Caenorhabditis elegans: one gene and its partner. The protein of the gene in region 2 purifies or fractionates together with the protein of the main gene of each other region. This does not show direct contact. Each region holds a gene or a part of one and is shown on either strand. Other genes may lie near its edges. The genes, in order: trr-1 and mys-1.

Region 1 (5,110 bases), on a different chromosome or scaffold from region 2:
GCAGAAAATATCATCTTCACTGAGAATCAAGGCGACAATCAATGCAAGATAAACATGGTGAGAGTTGTTCGATGTCGCGACACCGTCGTGAAGAATTCGAAGAACAGGAACAACTAGATTCTCGAGGTTGATCCGAGACAACACATAGTTCCGGAATCCCGAGTTCGCCTGTAGAAGCATGTAGAGTAGAAGCATCGGAGGTTCCTGGCCAGCGGTAGCACACAATCTTTCGTATAATCCATTATAATCGATTTTGAACGACACAATCTGAGTAGGCAATGTGGATACTTCTTGAGCATTTTGGAAGAGAGCAAGGGTTTCTTTGAATGGATTGGATGAATTGAGAGGTTGATGGCATGAAAGATTGAGGAGAAGCAGGATGCTTAAGTTTCCAAGAGTAAGTGGGGGCTTCTTTTCTTCCTCTGCGGAGTCGATACCAGTTGCCATTTGGACCATTGACCACATTGATGCTTAAAAATCGTGTTTTTTTTTTAATTTAATAAAGAATTAAAAAAGATTTTCAGTGACATACAAGCTAATCCAAAAACAATGCTCTCTTGTGGCTTTTGTACAGTCATGTGATACTCTGAATTGTGGATCAAATAATTGAGAAGAAGAGTTTTAGTGAGCGAAGCTGCGTGTTTCGCACATGATCCATCAATAAAGAATCTGAAGACAATTGAAGTATTCACAATTGATTCATTATATAGTTGAGAGCTCAGGAGAGTTAGGAGACATCGAACTGCTTCGACATGGATTGCCAATGTTGTTTCGCTGAAATTATTTTAATTCAATTTTTTAAAAAATAATTTAAAACTCACTTTACAGAAATATTGATTAAAATCGAAACCAGCTCATACGTGAACTCTTCTGCAGTGTTTTGAAAAACTATCGGGATATATTTTGTCGCTGAAAACGTCAGAATTTGATTATTATTGAATTTTTTTTTTAAATGAAGCTTATTTACCTCCATTATTATTTTCGTTTTCTGATTTCTGTTCGTCATCATCTTCCTCATCCGACGAGGAAGATGTAGACGACGATTCGGTTTCCGTACTCTCATGACTTTTGGCGAAAATCCTCACGAATTCTTTTTCCGTCATACGTTGAGTTAAAAATCTGGCGATGTAACGAAGAATGAGAAGAGCGTTTGATGTTTGCCATAAGTAGATTTTACTGAAATAAGAAAAAGCTTTAATTAAATATAATGATGATTTTTTTTTCCAACTCACTTTTCGCATTGTTCTGATGTTTTTAGTTCTGTGGCTCTGCGAAGGAAAAGTCGAATAAATGCAGCGAAATTTCCTGTTGTTTGTGTATTGTACATTAGACATTGAAGATGATCATCTAAAGCAGATTCCAAAGCGATTCGGGTGTCTCTAAACGATTATAACATTTTTAAAGCTTTTGCCTAATTTTAATCCTTACTCGTCGTCATCATCAAACTTGAGACTGAAAGAGAGAAGTTTGTTCCAAAATGGGTCATAATCGTCGACAGGTTCCAAACCGCTGAGTTTCTTCAGATAAATATTCTCCTGTAAGACCGTTTCCTTGGTTATAACTGATCCCATGTGTCTGAAATTTGTTATTACACTGTTAATAATCATAAAAATAAAAGAAAAAGTCAAGAAAGGGTCAAATATTAATCAGGTCACATCTTTTTTATTCAATAAAATCTCCTCTCTCGTTCGTGGCAATGCACGTGAAATGCGCCAACAACCGCGAGTGCGCCAACACACACACATACGCGTCAGCAGACAATTCGCTCTCGTTTGAAATTTAGTTGTTTCTTTGTTTCTGCTGAAATAATGTCAGTTTTCCGATAATTTCAGCGTTTTCTGACTGATTTTTCTTGTTGCATTCACTTCCTAATAGTTCATTCTACTCCATTCTTCATTTTATAATCTGTTTCCTTCGCAATTTAGTGAATTAAACACGTAAATCTTGTTTCAGATAAATTATTCAAATAGTTGCACAAAGCTCAATAGTTTAGAAGTATCTTCAGTGCTGGTCACTAATACAAAATGGATCCGGCTATGGCTTCTCCAGGCTATCGGTCTGTGCAGTCCGATCGGAGTAATCACCTAACAGAGCTGGAAACGAGAATTCAAAATCTTGCCGATAATTCACAAAGAGATGATGTCAAATTGAAAATGTTACAAGTTAGTTTCAATAATTCGTGTTAAGTAATCAATTTGTTCGGTTGCAGGAGATTTGGAGCACAATCGAAAATCATTTCACACTAAGTTCGCACGAGAAAGTCGTGGAGAGGCTCATTCTCTCGTTCCTACAAGTTTTCTGCAACACAAGTCCACAGTTCATTGCTGAAAACAATACACAACAGCTTCGAAAGTTAATGCTTGAAATCATTCTTCGACTTTCGAACGTAGAAGCCATGAAACATCATAGCAAAGAAATTATCAAGCAGATGATGAGGCTAATCACCGTGGAAAATGAGGAGAATGCCAATTTGGCTATCAAAATTGTCACCGATCAAGGGAGAAGTACCGGCAAAATGCAATATTGCGGAGAGGTTTCACAGATAATGGTCTCCTTCAAAACAATGGTCATTGATCTGACGGCGAGTGGTCGAGCTGGTGATATGTTCAACATAAAAGAGCATAAAGCTCCACCGTCAACTAGCTCCGACGAGCAAGTCATCACTGAATATTTGAAGACTTGCTACTATCAACAAACGGTTCTTCTCAACGGAACGGAAGGAAAACCGCCATTAAAATACAATATGATTCCATCAGCTCATCAGTCAACGAAGGTGCTCCTGGAGGTTCCGTATCTCGTGATTTTCTTCTATCAACATTTCAAAACAGCGATCCAAACCGAAGCGCTTGATTTCATGAGGCTTGGTCTTGATTTTCTAAATGTCAGAGTTCCAGACGAGGATAAACTCAAAACAAATCAAATAATAACCGATGATTTTGTCAGTGCACAGTCCCGATTCCTGTCATTCGTCAACATTATGGCTAAGATTCCAGCGGTAAGTTTCGTTTTTTCAAGTTTTTTTTCTGTAATCCTGATTTTTATTTTTCAGTTTATGGATCTTATCATGCAAAATGGACCGCTTCTAGTGTCGGGAACAATGCAGATGCTCGAGCGGTGCCCGGCTGATCTGATAAGTGTCCGACGAGAAGTTCTGATGGCTTTGAAGTATTTCACATCTGGAGAAATGAAGTCGAAATTCTTTCCAATGCTACCTCGACTCATCGCTGAGGAGGTTGTTCTGGGAACAGGATTCACTGCGATTGAGCATTTGCGAGTTTTCATGTATCAAATGCTAGCAGATCTGTTGCATCACATGCGAAATTCTATAGACTATGAAATGATCACACAGTAAGTTTGAATAAGACTTTCTGATGAAAAATGTTGAAATTTCAGCGTGATTTTCGTATTCTGTCGCACTCTTCACGATCCTAACAACTCTTCTCAAGTCCAGATTATGTCTGCTCGGCTGCTCAACTCACTGGCCGAATCTCTGTGCAAAATGGATTCACATGATACCGTAAGACTTATTCTATCAATAATCGTATCTCACTTCGAAATAAGTTTCAGACTCGTGATCTGCTCATTGAAATCCTGGAGTCGCACGTGGCCAAGCTCAAAACTCTTGCAGTCTATCACATGCCTATTCTCTTCCAACAATACGGAACCGAAATAGACTACGAATACAAAAGTTATGAGAGAGACGCCGAGAAACCTGGAATGAATATCCCAAAGGACACTATACGAGGAGTACCGAAACGAAGAATCCGTCGGCTCTCCATTGATTCAGTTGAAGAGCTGGAATTCCTGGCATCAGAACCATCCACGTCGGAAGATGCAGATGAGAGTGGTGGAGATCCGAACAAGCTTCCTCCGCCAACAAAAGAGGGAAAGAAAACGTCTCCCGAAGCGATTTTAACCGCCATGTCAACGATGACACCTCCTCCATTGGCAATTGTTGAAGCTCGAAATCTTGTGAAGTATATAATGCATACGTGTAAATTCGTGACAGGACAATTGAGAATCGCCCGGCCATCACAGGATATGTATCATTGTTCGAAGGAGCGAGATTTATTCGAACGTCTTCTACGATATGGTGTAATGTGTATGGATGTATTCGTGCTTCCAACAACTCGAAATCAACCACAAATGCATTCTTCAATGCGGACAAAAGATGAGAAAGATGCTCTGGAGTCGTTGGCAAACGTTTTTACAACAATCGACCATGCGATATTCCGGGAAATCTTCGAAAAGTATATGGATTTCTTGATTGAAAGAATTTACAATCGGAACTATCCATTGCAATTGATGGTGAACACCTTCTTGGTTCGAAATGAAGTGCCATTCTTCGCATCTACGATGCTTTCATTCTTGATGTCTCGAATGAAATTGCTGGAAGTTAGCAATGACAAGACGATGCTATATGTGAAGCTCTTCAAAATTATCTTCTCCGCCATCGGAGCCAATGGCTCTGGGCTTCATGGAGATAAAATGCTCACTTCATACCTCCCAGAGATTCTCAAACAGTCAACTGTCTTGGCATTAACAGCTCGTGAACCTCTCAACTATTTCCTTTTGCTTCGTGCATTGTTCCGCAGTATTGGTGGTGGCGCTCAGGATATTTTGTATGGAAAGTTCCTGCAGTTACTGCCAAATCTTCTTCAATTCTTGAATAAATTGACGGTGAGTTTCATTTTTTGATATATCGGTAATACACTAAAAATCCAGAATCTTCAGTCATGTCAACATCGGATTCAAATGCGTGAGCTCTTCGTCGAGTTGTGTTTGACTGTGCCAGTTCGACTCAGTTCCCTTCTGCCATACCTACCGCTTCTGATGGATCCACTGGTGTGTGCGATGAATGGGAGTCCGAACATAGTTACACAAGGATTGAGAACATTGGAATTATGTGTGGATAACTTGCAACCTGAATATCTTCTCGAAAATATGCTTCCTGTCCGTGGAGCTTTGATGCAAGGCCTCTGGCGTGTTGTATCGAAAGCTCCAGATACATCATCGATGACAGCAGCGTTCAGGATCCTCGGAAAGTTCGGAGGAGCCAATCGAAAACTTCTGAATCAACCGCAAATTCTTCAAGTAGCCACTTTAGGCG
Region 2 (5,867 bases):
AAGGACTTTGCAAAGGCTGTAAGTTATTAATTATGGGGCCGCAGCAAGCGCGCTTCAATGCCAAAGGAAAACGCTCCGCCTCCTAACGTTAGGTCTCGGTAGGAGGCGGCGAGACTGTAAATTCAAACTTTTTCACTATTTTTTCGATTGTTTTTTGTTGTTTTACATATTTTTTATGTCGAAATGATGTTTAAAATACTTGTCGTTTCGAAATTATAATATAGTCAGAAATAACCGAAAAAATAACAAATTCCTAACGGGACCCAACGTTTAGGGGCGGAGCACTTTTCGTTTTACATTGGAGCGCGCTTTCGCTTAGATTTCAAAAAACTCTATAATATACAATTTTGGATTTTTTTATTCAGATTGTTAAAAATTCGAGTCCTGAAATTAATTTTTTGAATATCTTTCAGGTTGTCACTGGCTGCAAGCATGTCTACGCCTCAACTCGTTCCCGCCGTGATCTGATCGCTCAGGCGGTTGCCGAATATCTTCAGAACGCTTAATGATTAGAAAACTTCACTTTTGCAGTTATAAACTTACTTGTCTATATGATGAATTTTAATTATTTGAACTGCAACAAGAAGATTATGAAATTCAAGAATAATTTCATTAAAAAAATAAGTGACTAATAAGTCAAATTATTACACAGAACAAATGAAATGAAATGAGGCGTACGCTCTCTGAGCGGTGTGGGAATGATAAAGGGATAGCGTAAGCTTTTCGGTGTGTAGATGCGAGATAAAACGGAGTGTTATATTTTAATGTACAGGTTGAGATCGTCGTGGCGAGAACACATGTCGTTGTTGCTAGAACATGATCTGCGCCTGAAAAAAAAGTTCATAAAATAATTTAAAGATATATTCCCGGAGACTTTTTGCTTTTGTGCCGGTTTTTCGATTTTTGGATATTTCGAAAAAAATTGCGAGAGTTCAAAAATTATTTAAAATCTGCCACTATTCTTTTTTTTAGAAGAATAGTATGTTTTGTGAAAATATTTCTATTTTTTTTCGATTAAAAAATCGAAAAAGACAATTTTTTAGTTTTTCGGAAAATCGAAAAACCGACATCCTTGTTACTGTTTAAATACCTTATTAAAACTAAAATAATTAAAATAAATTTTTCTTTTAAAACTTAAAAACATTGATTTCTATTTTTTTTTCTCATCAACATATACAAAATTTGATTTAAAAAAACGGTTTTTTAAAAATAAATTTCTGAAAAGTTTTTTTTTTAATTTTTCAGTTTTCCGGACGTTCCAGATTTTTCAAAATTACAATTTGGTTAAAATTAGGTTTATTTTTTTTCGTTTTTTCGAAAAAAAATTCGCAAAAACTGAAAGATTTGAGTTATAAATTTTTGATAAATTTAGTAAAAAGAAAAATGATTTTATTAGAAAATTTCAATTTTTTGACACTGTAAACCAGTATTTCCATTTTTTTCCTTAGTATTTAGTATTTCCAGTGTTTAGGTGTTTTTTTTTGAAAAAGAGCAAAAAACTGGAAAAAAATTGTAGGGTCAAATTTGCTCAAAAAAGTGCAATTTCTGTTGTTTGTATGAAATAGGGCGTAAACCGTTTTTTTTTAAATTTTTTTTTTGGTTCTGCCAAAAACGAAATTGTTTTTTTTTGGTTTTTTGAAAAAAAAATGTTATCACGAATTTAATTTAATTTTAATTTTCAGTTTTTAGCCGTAAACACGAATTTTTGATTGAAAAAAACTCACTCTTTTCTTTCCGTACTCTTTGGGTCGCCATTGCAGAGCTGCTGGATTAATTCGTGTCTTCTTTTTCGCAGCCTCAATCCGTTTCTCATAAACTTGACGCTTTTCATCACTAATCACAATTATGTATGATCCCTTATAGTATTTGTATAGATCAAGTTGCTGTAACGTTGACACAACATCTTCTCGTTTAATCGATGTACTTTGTGAAATGTCCTGAACTGTGATATCTTCGCCTGGATGTCGTCTTTTGAATGCGAAAAGCTCTTTCATGATGGCCATTGACCAGTACGATCGATATGAGAGAAGTCCCAAATCTGATAGTGGTTTTTCGGGTGATCCTGTCTTCTGTTCAATTTTCGAGAGTTCATAGCTGAATTCGATGAGCAAACTTCCGTATCCTTTCTTTTGAAATGGAGGTAACACAAGAATACACGCAACATTATATTCTTCAGCTGATTCTTTTTCTTTTGAAAAGTATCCAACTATATGATGACCCTTCTCGTCTTCTTCGGTTAGCACATAGAACAAAAATGGATCCGTGTCATAGTAAAGAGTCTTGTGATCCAGAAAAAGTTTGGCAAGCAGGCATAGATTCTGAGCATAGCTTTTGTTTTTGCGGCCGTCGATTTCAAAAAATGAAAGTTTATCGTGACTGTAGATTTGATTGCCAGGTGGGTGACACATTGCACATTTTTCCTGAAATAAAATTAATTAGAATTGGGCATTTTAATTAAATGATAGAAAATGAAGAGTATGGACCGAATGTAATTGTTTAAAAAATTAAAAATTTGTCTATTTTTTACGTTTTTTTTCCATTTTGCAAAATAGAAAAAGTAGCTGATTTTAATTTGAATTCCCACGCAGAATAATGGCCTATTTGCGAAACTTTTTTGATTACGATAAATTTGGTTTGAAACACCGTTTGTGAATTTTTTTTTCGTTTTCGCAAAAAAGTATTTCAAAAATGCAATTTTTGGAGCAAATTCCCAGAATTTGCGATTTTTTTCGATGCCGGAAAATTTTAAAAACATTGTTTCAAAACTAATATCAACGGAAAAAGCAAGAAAAACCGAAAAATTCAGCCAAAAACACACAAGAACTCGAATTTTTTCGAATTCACCGATTCTTTCATTTTTGGAAAATTGAAAATTTTTGAATTTTGAAAACAGTTATTTATATTCGGTCATTTTCTATAACTCGAAACACTCACCATGTGCCGTTTCAGACAAGTTTTCGACTTTAGATATTTCAGACAAAATTCGCAAATATAAATACAATCCAAACTTGTCAATTGTTGTGGATAAGGTGCAAAGTACCATGGCTGAATTCGTGATCTTCCTAGTTCAATGCATTCGACATTTCGGATCCTTGTCATTGCATCTTCACTATGGCCGACCATCGACATGGAACCTCGAAGACTTGGAGTAGATCCGCTGGTCATCGTTGAAATTGCTTGTAATGGATCTACGGATTCCGCCTTGAGATCATCCATCGGAAGTAGTGGAATCTTTCGTTTTCGGCCGCTTTTCTTTCCTTCATTTTCATTCGAATCTCGACTGAAATAATTATGAATTGATAAAACTATTTAAAATCTTTTGAAAAGTTTATAGATTTCTCACTTTTCTTCCCGCAAGTGTGCTCCTTTCTTTCCTCCTTTTTTTGGTAGCTCACACGACGCTAAATTGAGCCTATCAGACTGAACCCATTCGTCAAGTCTTCGGTTGCAATCGATATAATGGACATAGAATTTAATTGAACCATTTGCAGCTCGGCATCTTGAAATAACTTCGGCCCATCCTGAAAATAATTGGAAAATGTGTTTAAATAGATGTAAAAACTAACTTTCTTCTTCTTGTGAAGCCATCATGACCAATAACCGGCATCCCTCTGTAACTTTCTCGTATTGCCTGGGATCTGTTGGTATTTTCTTGGATATTCCATGATTTTCGTCCTCTATAATCTCCTTCTTCGGCTCGGTCATGATAAATATCTGGAAATAGTACAATTTTGTGTGAAAAATTCAATATTCAATAATATAGCAATCAAATGTGAACGATAGTACTTTCTTGCGTGCATAATCCATGAACAACATCTAAAAATCGATCCAAAAATGAACAAACTAGTTTTTTAATTTTAAAATAATATTATCCGTTGTTAGTTTTACTATTTTATCAATAAAAAACTTTAAAAATGCAAGAAATAATTGTGAAATCATGCTCGAAAAAAATAAAACGCGCCGGCTGGCCTAGAAACCAACCTCGGCCGCACTGCGCCGGCCACAGGGAAAAAGGGCGGCAATTCAAAAAAGAATAACAAGGGTGGTTGAAAATTGACCGCGGCATAACGTTTCAAGGCAATTATTTTGCGAAATGATCTTGAATTAAATTATTCGAATTGAAAAATAGTTATTTATAATGTACGATTGTACTTTCAAAAAAAAAACGATCACAAGAAAATTAGGAAAACGCAAATTTTTGAAGATGCTTAAAAAATGAACTGAATTCAGTGGTAAAATTTCAGATATCTAGATGTCCATTGCACTGTTGAGCCACGAACAAAAAAATTTAAATCAATGCTGCGCGAAAAGGTGTGCGCCTTTAAATGGTACAGTAGCCGAGTTATTGTTCACGAGATTTTCTCTGAAAAACATAATTTTGTTGAAAACCGAAATTGAAAAGCATGAAAAATGAAAATAAAACAGCAAAATTTTAGCTTAAAAAATCTAGGAAAAATCAAAAATCGAAGAAAGTTGCGAAATAAGAGAGAATGGATTACTGTACTTTTTCATCAAATTCCAAGTTTCCAACTTCAATTTTTCCTACATACTTTCGAGTCATGTGTTGCAAGAATGTATCGGTCTTGACCCTGCAAGCTTTAGATTCAAATGAATTCCTTCAATTTCAAAATTCAAATGTTACATTCAAATGTTGAATCCGGCATCATCGGAGCAACTACGAAGCACACAAAAAATCCGAAAACAAAAAATCAAATATCAAAAAGCGACAAGTGACAGGATGAGATGAAGAGACGAAGAGTTGAAAATCATTGAACTGATTGAACGCGTCACATCAAAACACCTGTTCGAACAAGATTGATAAGAGAGCCTCTTCCTCGTTTATTTTTCCTCTTTTTCTTATTATTCTTCCTTCTTCTTCTTCCCATTTTCCGATCATTATGATTATCATAACACTCGTGAAAGAATACGACCTTCTTTGTAATCTATATATCTTTTTCGTCATTTCTTTTCTCTTTCGATCACAGAAAGTAATTGATCGTCGTTTCAGGTTTACCGCCGTCTCCGTTTACTTCTACTATTTTCCATTTTCAATTAGAGAAGACGGTTTGACCCATACTCTATCATGTCACTATATTTTATACTAATTGTTACTATAATAATCCCACAATTTGAATTTATTCATTCACCTTTATCTGAAAAGGATATTGTTACATTCCGCTTCAATTTGGTAAATCGTCTTGATCAGTGCACATTATGGAGATCAAAACTAGATAAAAAAGTTTCAAATACGTTAGATCATTTTTTAATGAACTCAAAGTTTGATGAATTTCGAGAAGCATCTACACAATTAGCTGCAGATATATACCCGGAAAGTATTGACTGCCTTGACTCTTGCTCTTATGATATTGAACAATTTAATGATTTCGTGAAATCTGAAAGTTTAACTACAAAGAATGATCTTGGAGACCTTCTTGATAACGAGCAAATTTATCAGTTGCATATGCTTTTGGAGAAAACAAAACGGCCGGATATCGTGGAAAAAGGGGTGAGTTATTGAAGTTTCAATTTTAATTTTAACGATTAAAATTCTATATAACAACTTATGTTGTTTTATAATATTTTTTATGGGAAATGGATGAAAAAATTTCAAAAATTGTGTAATTGAATTGTAATTAATTTACTATAAATAAAATGTGCTAATTCCAGAAATGATCCGATGAAAAAGCTATACATTTTTTGGACAGTCTTCACAGTCTTTGACACTATTTTTTTTTAAATTATATTTTTATTAATTTTATATCAGTTTGTTTTAGATATTCTTAAAACCAATTTGAATCAAAATGAGATGATAATTTTATTTGACATCAAAAATAGTTTTGTGCCTTTTTGTGCCAAAATGAAAAATA

Evidence for each region.
Region 1: the proteins of mys-1 (region 2) and trr-1 purify together in Caenorhabditis elegans (affinity purification with western blotting, with the first as the bait; one study listed by BioGRID). This does not show direct contact.

Annotation. Positions count from the first base shown.
Region 1 is NC_003280.10:11,672,771-11,677,880, reverse strand, and holds the start of trr-1 (Transcription-associated protein 1), read left to right. Parts: upstream 1-1,953; 5' UTR 1,954-2,024; coding exon 2,025-2,162; intron 2,163-2,209; coding exon 2,210-2,995; intron 2,996-3,049; coding exon 3,050-3,348; intron 3,349-3,393; coding exon 3,394-3,517; intron 3,518-3,561; coding exon 3,562-4,680; intron 4,681-4,725; coding exon 4,726-5,110. Other genes in the region: C47D12.2 (Dymeclin), read right to left, coding at 1-470, 533-774, 822-909, 968-1,176, 1,233-1,379, 1,429-1,571.
Region 2 is NC_003283.11:7,080,949-7,086,815, forward strand, and holds mys-1 (Histone acetyltransferase Tip60 homolog), read right to left. Parts: upstream 3,715-5,867; 5' UTR 3,706-3,714; coding exon 3,567-3,705; intron 3,522-3,566; coding exon 3,344-3,521; intron 3,281-3,343; coding exon 2,935-3,280; intron 2,421-2,934; coding exon 1,725-2,420; intron 828-1,724; coding exon 810-827; 3' UTR 597-809; downstream 1-596. Other genes in the region: npa-1 (Polyprotein allergen nematode domain-containing protein), read left to right, coding at 1-18, 414-506; VC5.2 (Laminin EGF-like domain-containing protein), read left to right, coding at 5,084-5,506. UniProt on the Caenorhabditis elegans protein: Probable catalytic subunit of the Tip60 chromatin-remodeling complex. Plays a role in acetylation of nucleosomal histone H4 and perhaps also H2A, probably acting as a component of the Tip60 histone acetyltransferase complex.